Bombyx mori: one gene and its partner. The protein of the gene in region 1 purifies or fractionates together with the protein of each later gene. This does not show direct contact. Links are inferred from orthologs where the notes say so. Each region holds a gene or a part of one and is shown in the gene's direction. Other genes may lie near its edges.

Region 1 (4,648 bases):
TTTTACATATATTAAAAATTGCTTTAGTGCCAACTTCATACTTATTAAGATTTATAAGTGTATACCTACTTAGAATATGCTATATCATTTGCAAGTATCCTCAATGTAATTATCTCTAGTTTATTAAATTTTACATAGGAAATTTTTGAAGAAAATCATTTTTAATTAGTTGTTAGTGAAGTCGCGTGGTCTAAAGGATTAAGACACGTACACGTAGGATAGGATACGTACTTAGCAAATGTTCACGATTAACTTCTACGGTGAAGTAATAGCATAATAAATCTCATCGCATAATGAAAAAGAAACCTGTAAAAAATATAATTTATTTAATTAATTAATTGGTGGTAGAGCGTCTTGTGAGCCCGCGCGGGTAGGTACCACCAACCTGTCTATTTCTGCCGTGAAACAGTAATGCGTTTCGGTTTAAAGGGTGAGATAGTCCTTATATATATATAAATGAACTGCTGTTCGTTTATCTCGCTAAAAATCGACTTTTATTTATCGATTGAGGCACTACGAAGTCTGCTGGGTCAGCCAGTACTGTATATAAACTGAGACCCAGACCTCATGTCTCAAGGTAGATGGTGGTATTTATGTTGTTGATGTCTATTGCTTTTGGCAACCACCTAAAATAAGGTGAGCCGTCAGCTCGACCACGCATTTTTTTGCCCAAGTATTTTAAGAAAACATAGTAGTACACTAATAATTGCTAAAACTTTTTTGCACTACCTTATTTAGCCTTATTATTTGACAAATATCGGTACTCATATCTTGGCAGAGATTTGCACAAGTCTCGATGTGCCAATTATGACCGCTATGCGGTTATTCAACTTCCGCGTTTCATCACTGACTGTAATATTTTATTTATACCCTGCCTATAATGTATTTATAGTTTTTTATTTTAAGTAGTAACGACTTTTATATCGTAGTATTTTGTTTGCTTACCGAATGGTAAACATGAATAATATGCACGTTTTAGTTGCTTATAAAATGCATACATGCAATAGTTTAAATTGTTTGTTGAATACTATAGATCTTTTAATTGATTGTTTCTTTTCAGTACAAAGCTAATAACAATGAAACGTTCAACGTAGATGTAAATGAAATAAAAGGAAACCATTTGGACAATGATCTGCAAGCACTCATAAATGCTACAGACAATATGGTAACTACCATTGAACTACTTCCTTCTTCTTATGTTTTTTTCAGTATGGCAATTGGCGTTTTACGATGACATTGTTGCCAGTGTTGAGTATATAAACGTTTATATATGTACTGTTACATAAAATAGGAGCAGAATGAAATGAACTTTATTTATTTAAAATTCACTACATTATACTTATTTTGTTTATACTTTATAGGTATAATGTCACATTTATATCTCACAGTGTAACAACATACTCAATTCAGTAGATAGAATGCTATATCTTATTTAGTTTGGGTACTTATCTTTGTTACAATAAACATATTTATCATAAATCAGATTTCGAATTTCATTAACGATAAATGAGTTCATTTGTACTTTAAGATTATTACTTGTATTTGTAAAATGTTGTTTTATTTACGAAATAATCTATCCAGATTCATTTTCCAATCGGAGTCGCTCATCCTTATTAAAGATAGTTGGTTTTCGTAGTCCTAAACCTTTTGACTGTGGAAAGTTTTTAAAATGAAATTCCTTTATTGTCAGATATCTCATAAAATCAATTGTTTTAGTTTATGAATGATTTGGAAGATGGTGAAGAAGAATACGAGGAAACGAGCGATGGTGAGTTGAAATATATATTTTTTTCAAATCCTCCTCGCGTGGTTTTCCTCATTACTGAGGGTCGTGGCTCCTCCGCTGCATCAGTTTCTCCCGTACGATTTCCCTCCATCTGCTGCGATCCTTAGCTTCATGAAGGGCATTGTGGAAGTTGATGCTTAGAGAAGATCGTACCCTCTTTACGAGCAATATGTTCGAAGAATTCCAGCACCCTACGAAATTTTTTTTTACTTTACGAAATTAATTTTTTTAAATATATTATTATAAAAAAAAAAATTACATCTAGTTCTGATCTTACTCAGGGTCATCTACGTTTGTTTGATGCCACAGTATTACTGTATTTCCACAGCGTTTCAATTATCAATAAAAACTTGAATTTAACTTTCAGAGGAAGCCAACATGGAAATGGAGTTTATTTTGCATAAAAAAGATTATTATATGAATAAGTTGGACTATTCGAAAGTTACAGAGTAAGAATTTTACTATTCATTTAAAAAGAAAAAAAAACGTGGTTTTAATACAAGCAGTATTACCCACTCTATGATAGTATGTAAATATATAATTATTACATCACGTGTTATATATAAACAGTTTGTAATTACGGCATTGACATTGACACAGGTGACGGTTGAATTTGTGTTAGCTCATCTGCCAACATTAAGATTAGAAACAGATTACAATTTTAAAATATTATTGTATTATTGTTTTGCAGCTATCAATATATACTTTAAATTTCCTGAAAAAAGTCTCGATACCGTACCGTAAACTTTAATGGTAACCCGTCATCTCGGATCCTCCCGATCCACTAACGGTGCTTCTAGGTACTACAAGCACCGGTCACCGTTCTCGTCGAACCCGTCGCTTGCGACGAAGGGCTCGACGAGTAAATTAACTCTCAGACACAGCCCACTGAGTTTCTCGCCGGATCTTCTCAGTGGGTCGCGTTTCCGATCCGGTGGTCGTTTCTGCGAAGCACGACTCTTGCTAGGGTTCGTGTTAGCAACGTCGTCAGGTTTGAGCCCCGTGAGCTCACCTACTAGTTACGGTTACGCTGGAATAGCCGCTCCAGGCTACCAGCTTAGGTAGGAAAAAAATAAATTGGTAACATACCGGAACGGACTAGAATCAGGGTAGATAGATATGTCTGCTCTTAGCATCCTAACCGCAGCTTTTGATCCAATCGCGAAAATGGTGCAACAGCGCAGAAATATCGGGAATTTAAAACTACAATTCTTTTTAATTATTTTTATTTATTGCGCAGATGGGTAGACGAGCTCACATCCCACTTGGTGTTAAGTGGGAATCTACAACGTCAATGCCGCCACCCACCTTGAGATATAAGTTCTAAGGTCTCAGTATAGTTATACAACTGCTGGTCCACCCTTCAAACCGAAACGCATTACTGCTTCACGGCAGAAATAGGCAGGGTGGTGGTACCTATCCGTGCGGACTCACAAGACGTCCTACCACCAGTAATCGCGTTAGGAACTATTATATGCTTTATAATAATGTTTTTAATTTATACATAGAAATAAAATTGGAGTGTCTGTTTGTAATATTGAAATAGCCTCTTTTTACGACGTGCAAATGAATATACGGTACATACACCAAAATAACATTTTTTACAATTCTTGTCTGTCTGTCTGTCTATTTGTTCCGTCTAATCTCTGTAACGGCTGGACCGATTTTGACGGGACTTTCACTGATAGGTAGCTGATAATATAAGGAGTAACTTAGGCTACTTTTTTAGACGAGCTTCGCCCCGCGGCGTCACCCGCGGTACGATAATAAGCGCGGGTAACATCGCGGGACTCAGTTTTCAATAATAAAATTTAATGTTTCCGAAGCGAAGCGAGGGCGGGTGGCTAGTATGAAATAATATTGTTGAACAGCGAAGTGCTGGCGGACCAGGCCGAGGGCTACGTGCGAGCCATCCAGTGGAACCTGTACTACTACTACAAGGGCTGCCCCTCGTGGTGCTGGTTCTATCCGCACCACTACGCCCCCTACATATCCGACATTAAGGGATTCAAAGATCTGAAGATCGACTTCGAGCTCGGGGAACCGTTCAAGCCCTTCGAACAGGTGAGCAGCTCCTGGATCTCAGGTACGGTAGACAGCGGCTTGGTTCTGCCCATGGCATTGATGGCGTCGACAAGCCACGGTAACCACTTACTATCGGGTGGGCCGTGTTTTTTTTTTTATTGCTCTTGTAGGCAGACGATTATACGGCCCACCTGATGGTGAGTGGTTACCGTCGCCCATGGACTTCAGCAGTGCCAGGGGCAGAGCCAAGCCGCTGCCCAAATGTTCGTAAGGGCATTAAAAAGACATACGGTACGAAATATTCCGAATGGCATGTCGACGCTCCCTACGTACAATGCGACTTGGCAATATGAAAATTAACACTATATATACAGATACCCGTATATACGACATCAAGTTTATGAAACAAAAGAGTATTTAGTAAATCACATGATAACTGAAAAAATAAACTCATTAAATGACACTGGCCGCTTTGTTTTTTTTTTCTTTGTTATTAACATGCTGTTTTCTCACCTGAAATTAAGATTCCATGTACTATAGGCACCATAAACTATTACACTAAAATACGTGTAAATATATACATACTAGCTGACCCGGCAGTCTCATTATTATAACAATAACTATTATCCCGTCTGGCAGACCGGAACTCGTGGTAGCTTCGTGGCGGTAGTTGGTAACATTAAAACATTAATTAGAACGAGAGTTATTTATAAAAGAAAGGGATGTAGTATACCCCTACTAAGGATGACGTCGAAGTCTGTTAGTAGTTGGACGCGGTATGAGCCAGCACGTTAGTGTTTCGTGCGACAGAGATAACGCTCTACGAAGCCGAAATTA
Region 2 (4,072 bases), on another chromosome or scaffold:
GGTGGTCGCGCAGGTGATATTCCTAAAACATACTAGATTACTACATATTCTTAGTATAAAGTCAAGTCATAGCTCCAAGTTTGAAAATTAAATAAGGAATTTCTCGAAAACATCTCGCGAAAAAAAAAAAAAATTTAAAACGATACTAAATATTCTGCATTCGTGGCGCGACATTGATACACAGTTAAAGCGCCATCTATCAAGCTATGAAGTTATCTCCTCGTCCCGTTGTTAAGATGGTTGAATAAATAATTTTGTTAATCTTAATAACAAATTTATAGTACAAATATTTAAATACATCTTTTGATGATCATTCACATGAAGGTCTAGACTAATTCAACACACTACGGTACTTTTGACTTTTGGCGGGAATGTGAGGATATGTAATGTTTGATTTGAATCGTCTACTTGACAAGCAAAGGGAGCATAGCCTATACAGCAAAGCTTTTGACTGAACTAAATCTGTTGTTTAAAAAATGAAATGAAATTGATTACGGAATGGAATTAAATAGGGTAAATGAATCAACCTCAAATTCACCACACACCTCAACACACCACACACCTCATCAACACATCACAACACTTCAAATCTTAGATGAGATTAAATACAGTAGCCTCTCAGTAAAATGGTGGGAATTTATTGTGAATTCACTTGTCTTTTTGAATGAAAATGAAAACTAAAACGATATTGTTTAATTTTCCGACATAGATCCTAAGAAACTCATAAACTAAAAAAATTTAATGAAAAAATACTAAATTTACTATATCAACGGTGCCCAAACTGGTGTACGCCGGATATGAGGTTTCAATTGTGTGATACAACGACTATCCCACTCCGATTCATCATGAATTCCAAACACTTGATTGTTTCATAAGATATCTAGTTTCCATTATTGTAATCTATGTATTGACGAATATTTGGAAATTTTAATTTTTTTACCCGAAAAAATTTTTAAAGGCATTCATTTAATAACGCTGTCATTATGAACACATGAATAACTAGCTAAAATTCTTACTTTTCGCAGCATTTGAACCCAGCTGGCAACGCTCTCGCAACAACAATCTTGCCCGTTAGTCCAGGTCCATTCGCGTCATTTAGATTATTTTGTAGTGAGAAAATCGGTACAGTGAAGAGAAAAAAGTATATTTAAGTTTATCCGGTCATATTTCTCAATTAAGTAGTACTTGTGACCTGGCCTCTATTGCCCAGTGTTGCGTCTTGTGGCAATAGTAAGTGACAGCTTTGAGTTGTAAATATATTTTATCTGTACTTAAATTTTCTCACTTGGAATAGTTTGTTTTTCTGTACTTTAATTGGTTAAAAAACAGACAGCTAAACTGCACTCAAAGATTTGATTGGTACAAAACTTTGAAATTATTAATTGACAAATAGAATAACAGACAATTTATATAAAACTTTATACGGAAACAAACCATGTGTTAACATGTCGAATTTTCGTCACGATTTGTGTGTCGTTTGAATAACTGCGTGACTGCTATGGAAATATCAGCCAATAGTCGTTCTATATATTTTCTTTTGGATTAATTTTGTTTGTTTAAATTCGTCATTAAAAATGAGTGTTGAAGCATTCGACCCAAGCTCGCAATCGCTCACGTTTCTGGAAACAGAGGAAGGGGACTTTATTGGAGCAGACACTCAAGGCTCTGAGTTTGAGTTCACGGATTTTACATTACCCTCTCAGAGCCAGACACAGGCTTCACAACATGACCATGGGTTGTCTTCATCCAACCAGGTATGTAGAACACCACCGAAGACACATCACTTCAACTCACAGAAAGATCAGTAACTATTGACATTTATCACGTTGTAGGTTAACGGAATAGGACGTATAGAATTGTCGTCTAAAATCTCTAACGTGACTAATACGATACCGGAGCTGCAATTCGAAGAGGAAGATGAGGCTTTGTACAGCAACAAGGAACTTCCAGATCATGCTTGTAAATACTGTGGCATACACGACCCGGCCACAGTCGTTATGTGTAACATATGCAACAAGTGGTAAGTAGTATCATAATCCCAAAAATGTAGTATTTATAGACGTTTTTTTACAATATACATGAAACTGACCTCTGCTTCCTAACTATTTTAAGTATTGGTTTATTTTATCAACATGGGTTGTTACATCTTTCATGATTATCTGTCTAATGAAATTAGAATGTTAGGAAAGTAATAGCAACTCAAATAGAACTGTGGCCTCTCAAAACAGGCATGTCTTTTGTGTCTCTCAAAACAGACATGGTTCTGTTATCCATGGGCCCTGGAAACAACTTAAAATTAGTTAGATCTTTGTAACTTTACACAGTTATTGGAATGTAGATTGCAGATTAATAAGTTGCCTTTGTTACAATGAATTTGCTTTAGATTCTGTTCCTACATCTTCTTTGAGCATGCCCTACATTGGTAATTATCAACTGAGTAGAGGAATAAATCAGGGGAAAAATTTACTGGATTCAAGTAGTAATGTTATAACTCATTGAAAATGACCTACTTGAATTACAAAATTTAGATATTGAAGTATATAATACAGCTATGCTACATCATAGATCGGATACACTTTAGAGATAGATAAAACAAAACACTTGCATACTACTGAGCAATTGGAAATATAAAGATTATAAAGAATTAGTACTTTATGACTTAAAAATTAAGAAAATTTTAATAAAATTAAATGTCTGAAAGAAATTGCAGTGAAGATTATGTTATACACAATTTATTGAATATACTCTGATTCCTTAAGAATAATATTTTCCAGGTTCTGTAATGGCCGCGGTAACACTTCAGGCTCTCATATCATCAACCATTTAGTACGTGCAAAGCACAAGGAAGCTGCATTGCACCGTGACGGGCCACTTGGCGAAACCCTTCTGGAATGTTACTCATGTGGTGCTCGGAATGTATTCGTACTCGGCTTTATACCAGCTAAAGCTGATTCTGTTGTTGTGCTACTTTGCCGGTATGATATTTTTTTTAAACTTAATAATCACTCATTAATATGTAATATGCTATTATCTCAGTCATAAAATCTGTGACTCACTCCAACATAAACGATTGCTCTCACTCTGTGAAACACTGCGCCACATGGTGTCGCATCGCGAGAGCATCGGTATTGCAGGATCCGACTGATCCACTGACCACGACCACTCTGTCAAGAGTGTACAAATAAGAAGAATTATCTCAGTGCTCAGAGAAAAAAAAACTATAAAACAATTGAAACCAAGATAAATTAGATAATTATCGACTGCCCGCTACATTTAATATCAAGAATTGAATTTTCAGACAACCTTGTGCAGCTCAAAGCTCTTTGAAGGATATGAACTGGGATCAGGAACAGTGGAAACCTCTGATATGTATGTTTATATCTTTTAAAACATAAAAAATCAAATGATTTGTAGTACTGATAAGCTTACATTTATTTATGTGTTTATACATAACAAGTTTTATATCTAAACCTGATAAATAGTGATCATGAACATAGCATCCTGAAGTTGACCTGGAAAGACTTGTAAATGATGATGTAGATTTATATATAAAATATATTACAGCCCACATGATGTTAGTAGTTACAACAGTATCAATATTGACACTACTTACCTTGAGATATGAAGTCGAAAACTCCATTTCAAAGTCTAAAAATGATCTCAGATAAGAAATTACTCTAACCAGTATTCTTATCCCACAATTCAAGTCATTATGCATTATTGTCATTATACCACATCATCACGAGCTGTCTTTTAATCATACTCTTAAGACTTAACAAATAGATGAATAGAAAGACTTTCAATGTAAAATTTCTTTATGTAACTTCATCTTGACCAATTTTAAAACCTATTAAGAACATAAAATGTTTTAGTATATGACATAAAAATAGATAGATAGCTTTTAAATATTAACCGACAATATTCATTATAATTACAGCTGATCGTGCCTTCCTGTCTTGGTTGGTGAAAGTGCCATCAGAAACAGAACAAATGCGAGCTAGACAAGTAAATTTTTATATACAAATTAGACATTTATAGAAATATTAATTAATTTACTTATTTATACCTTTTT

What was found. Proteins that work in one complex are often made in the same cells at the same time.
Region 2: the proteins of 5'-3' exoribonuclease 1 (region 1) and regulator of nonsense transcripts 1 purify together in Homo sapiens (affinity purification with western blotting; 4 studies listed by BioGRID and IntAct, with this or other methods). This does not show direct contact. The link is inferred for Bombyx mori from reciprocal best matches to the Homo sapiens genes XRN1 and UPF1.

Annotation. Positions count from the first base shown.
Region 1 is NC_085128.1:3,931,919-3,936,566, reverse strand, and holds part of 5'-3' exoribonuclease 1, read left to right. Parts: intron 1-1,060; coding exon 1,061-1,165; intron 1,166-1,716; coding exon 1,717-1,768; intron 1,769-2,153; coding exon 2,154-2,235; intron 2,236-3,657; coding exon 3,658-3,850; intron 3,851-4,648. UniProt on the Homo sapiens protein: Major 5'-3' exoribonuclease involved in mRNA decay. Required for the 5'-3'-processing of the G4 tetraplex-containing DNA and RNA substrates. The kinetic of hydrolysis is faster for G4 RNA tetraplex than for G4 DNA tetraplex and monomeric RNA tetraplex.
Region 2 is NC_085127.1:8,613,908-8,617,979, forward strand, and holds the start of regulator of nonsense transcripts 1, read left to right. Parts: upstream 1-1,272; 5' UTR 1,273-1,574; coding exon 1,575-1,754; intron 1,755-1,832; coding exon 1,833-2,020; intron 2,021-2,774; coding exon 2,775-2,975; intron 2,976-3,298; coding exon 3,299-3,369; intron 3,370-3,937; coding exon 3,938-4,005; intron 4,006-4,072. UniProt on the Homo sapiens protein: RNA-dependent helicase required for nonsense-mediated decay (NMD) of aberrant mRNAs containing premature stop codons and modulates the expression level of normal mRNAs.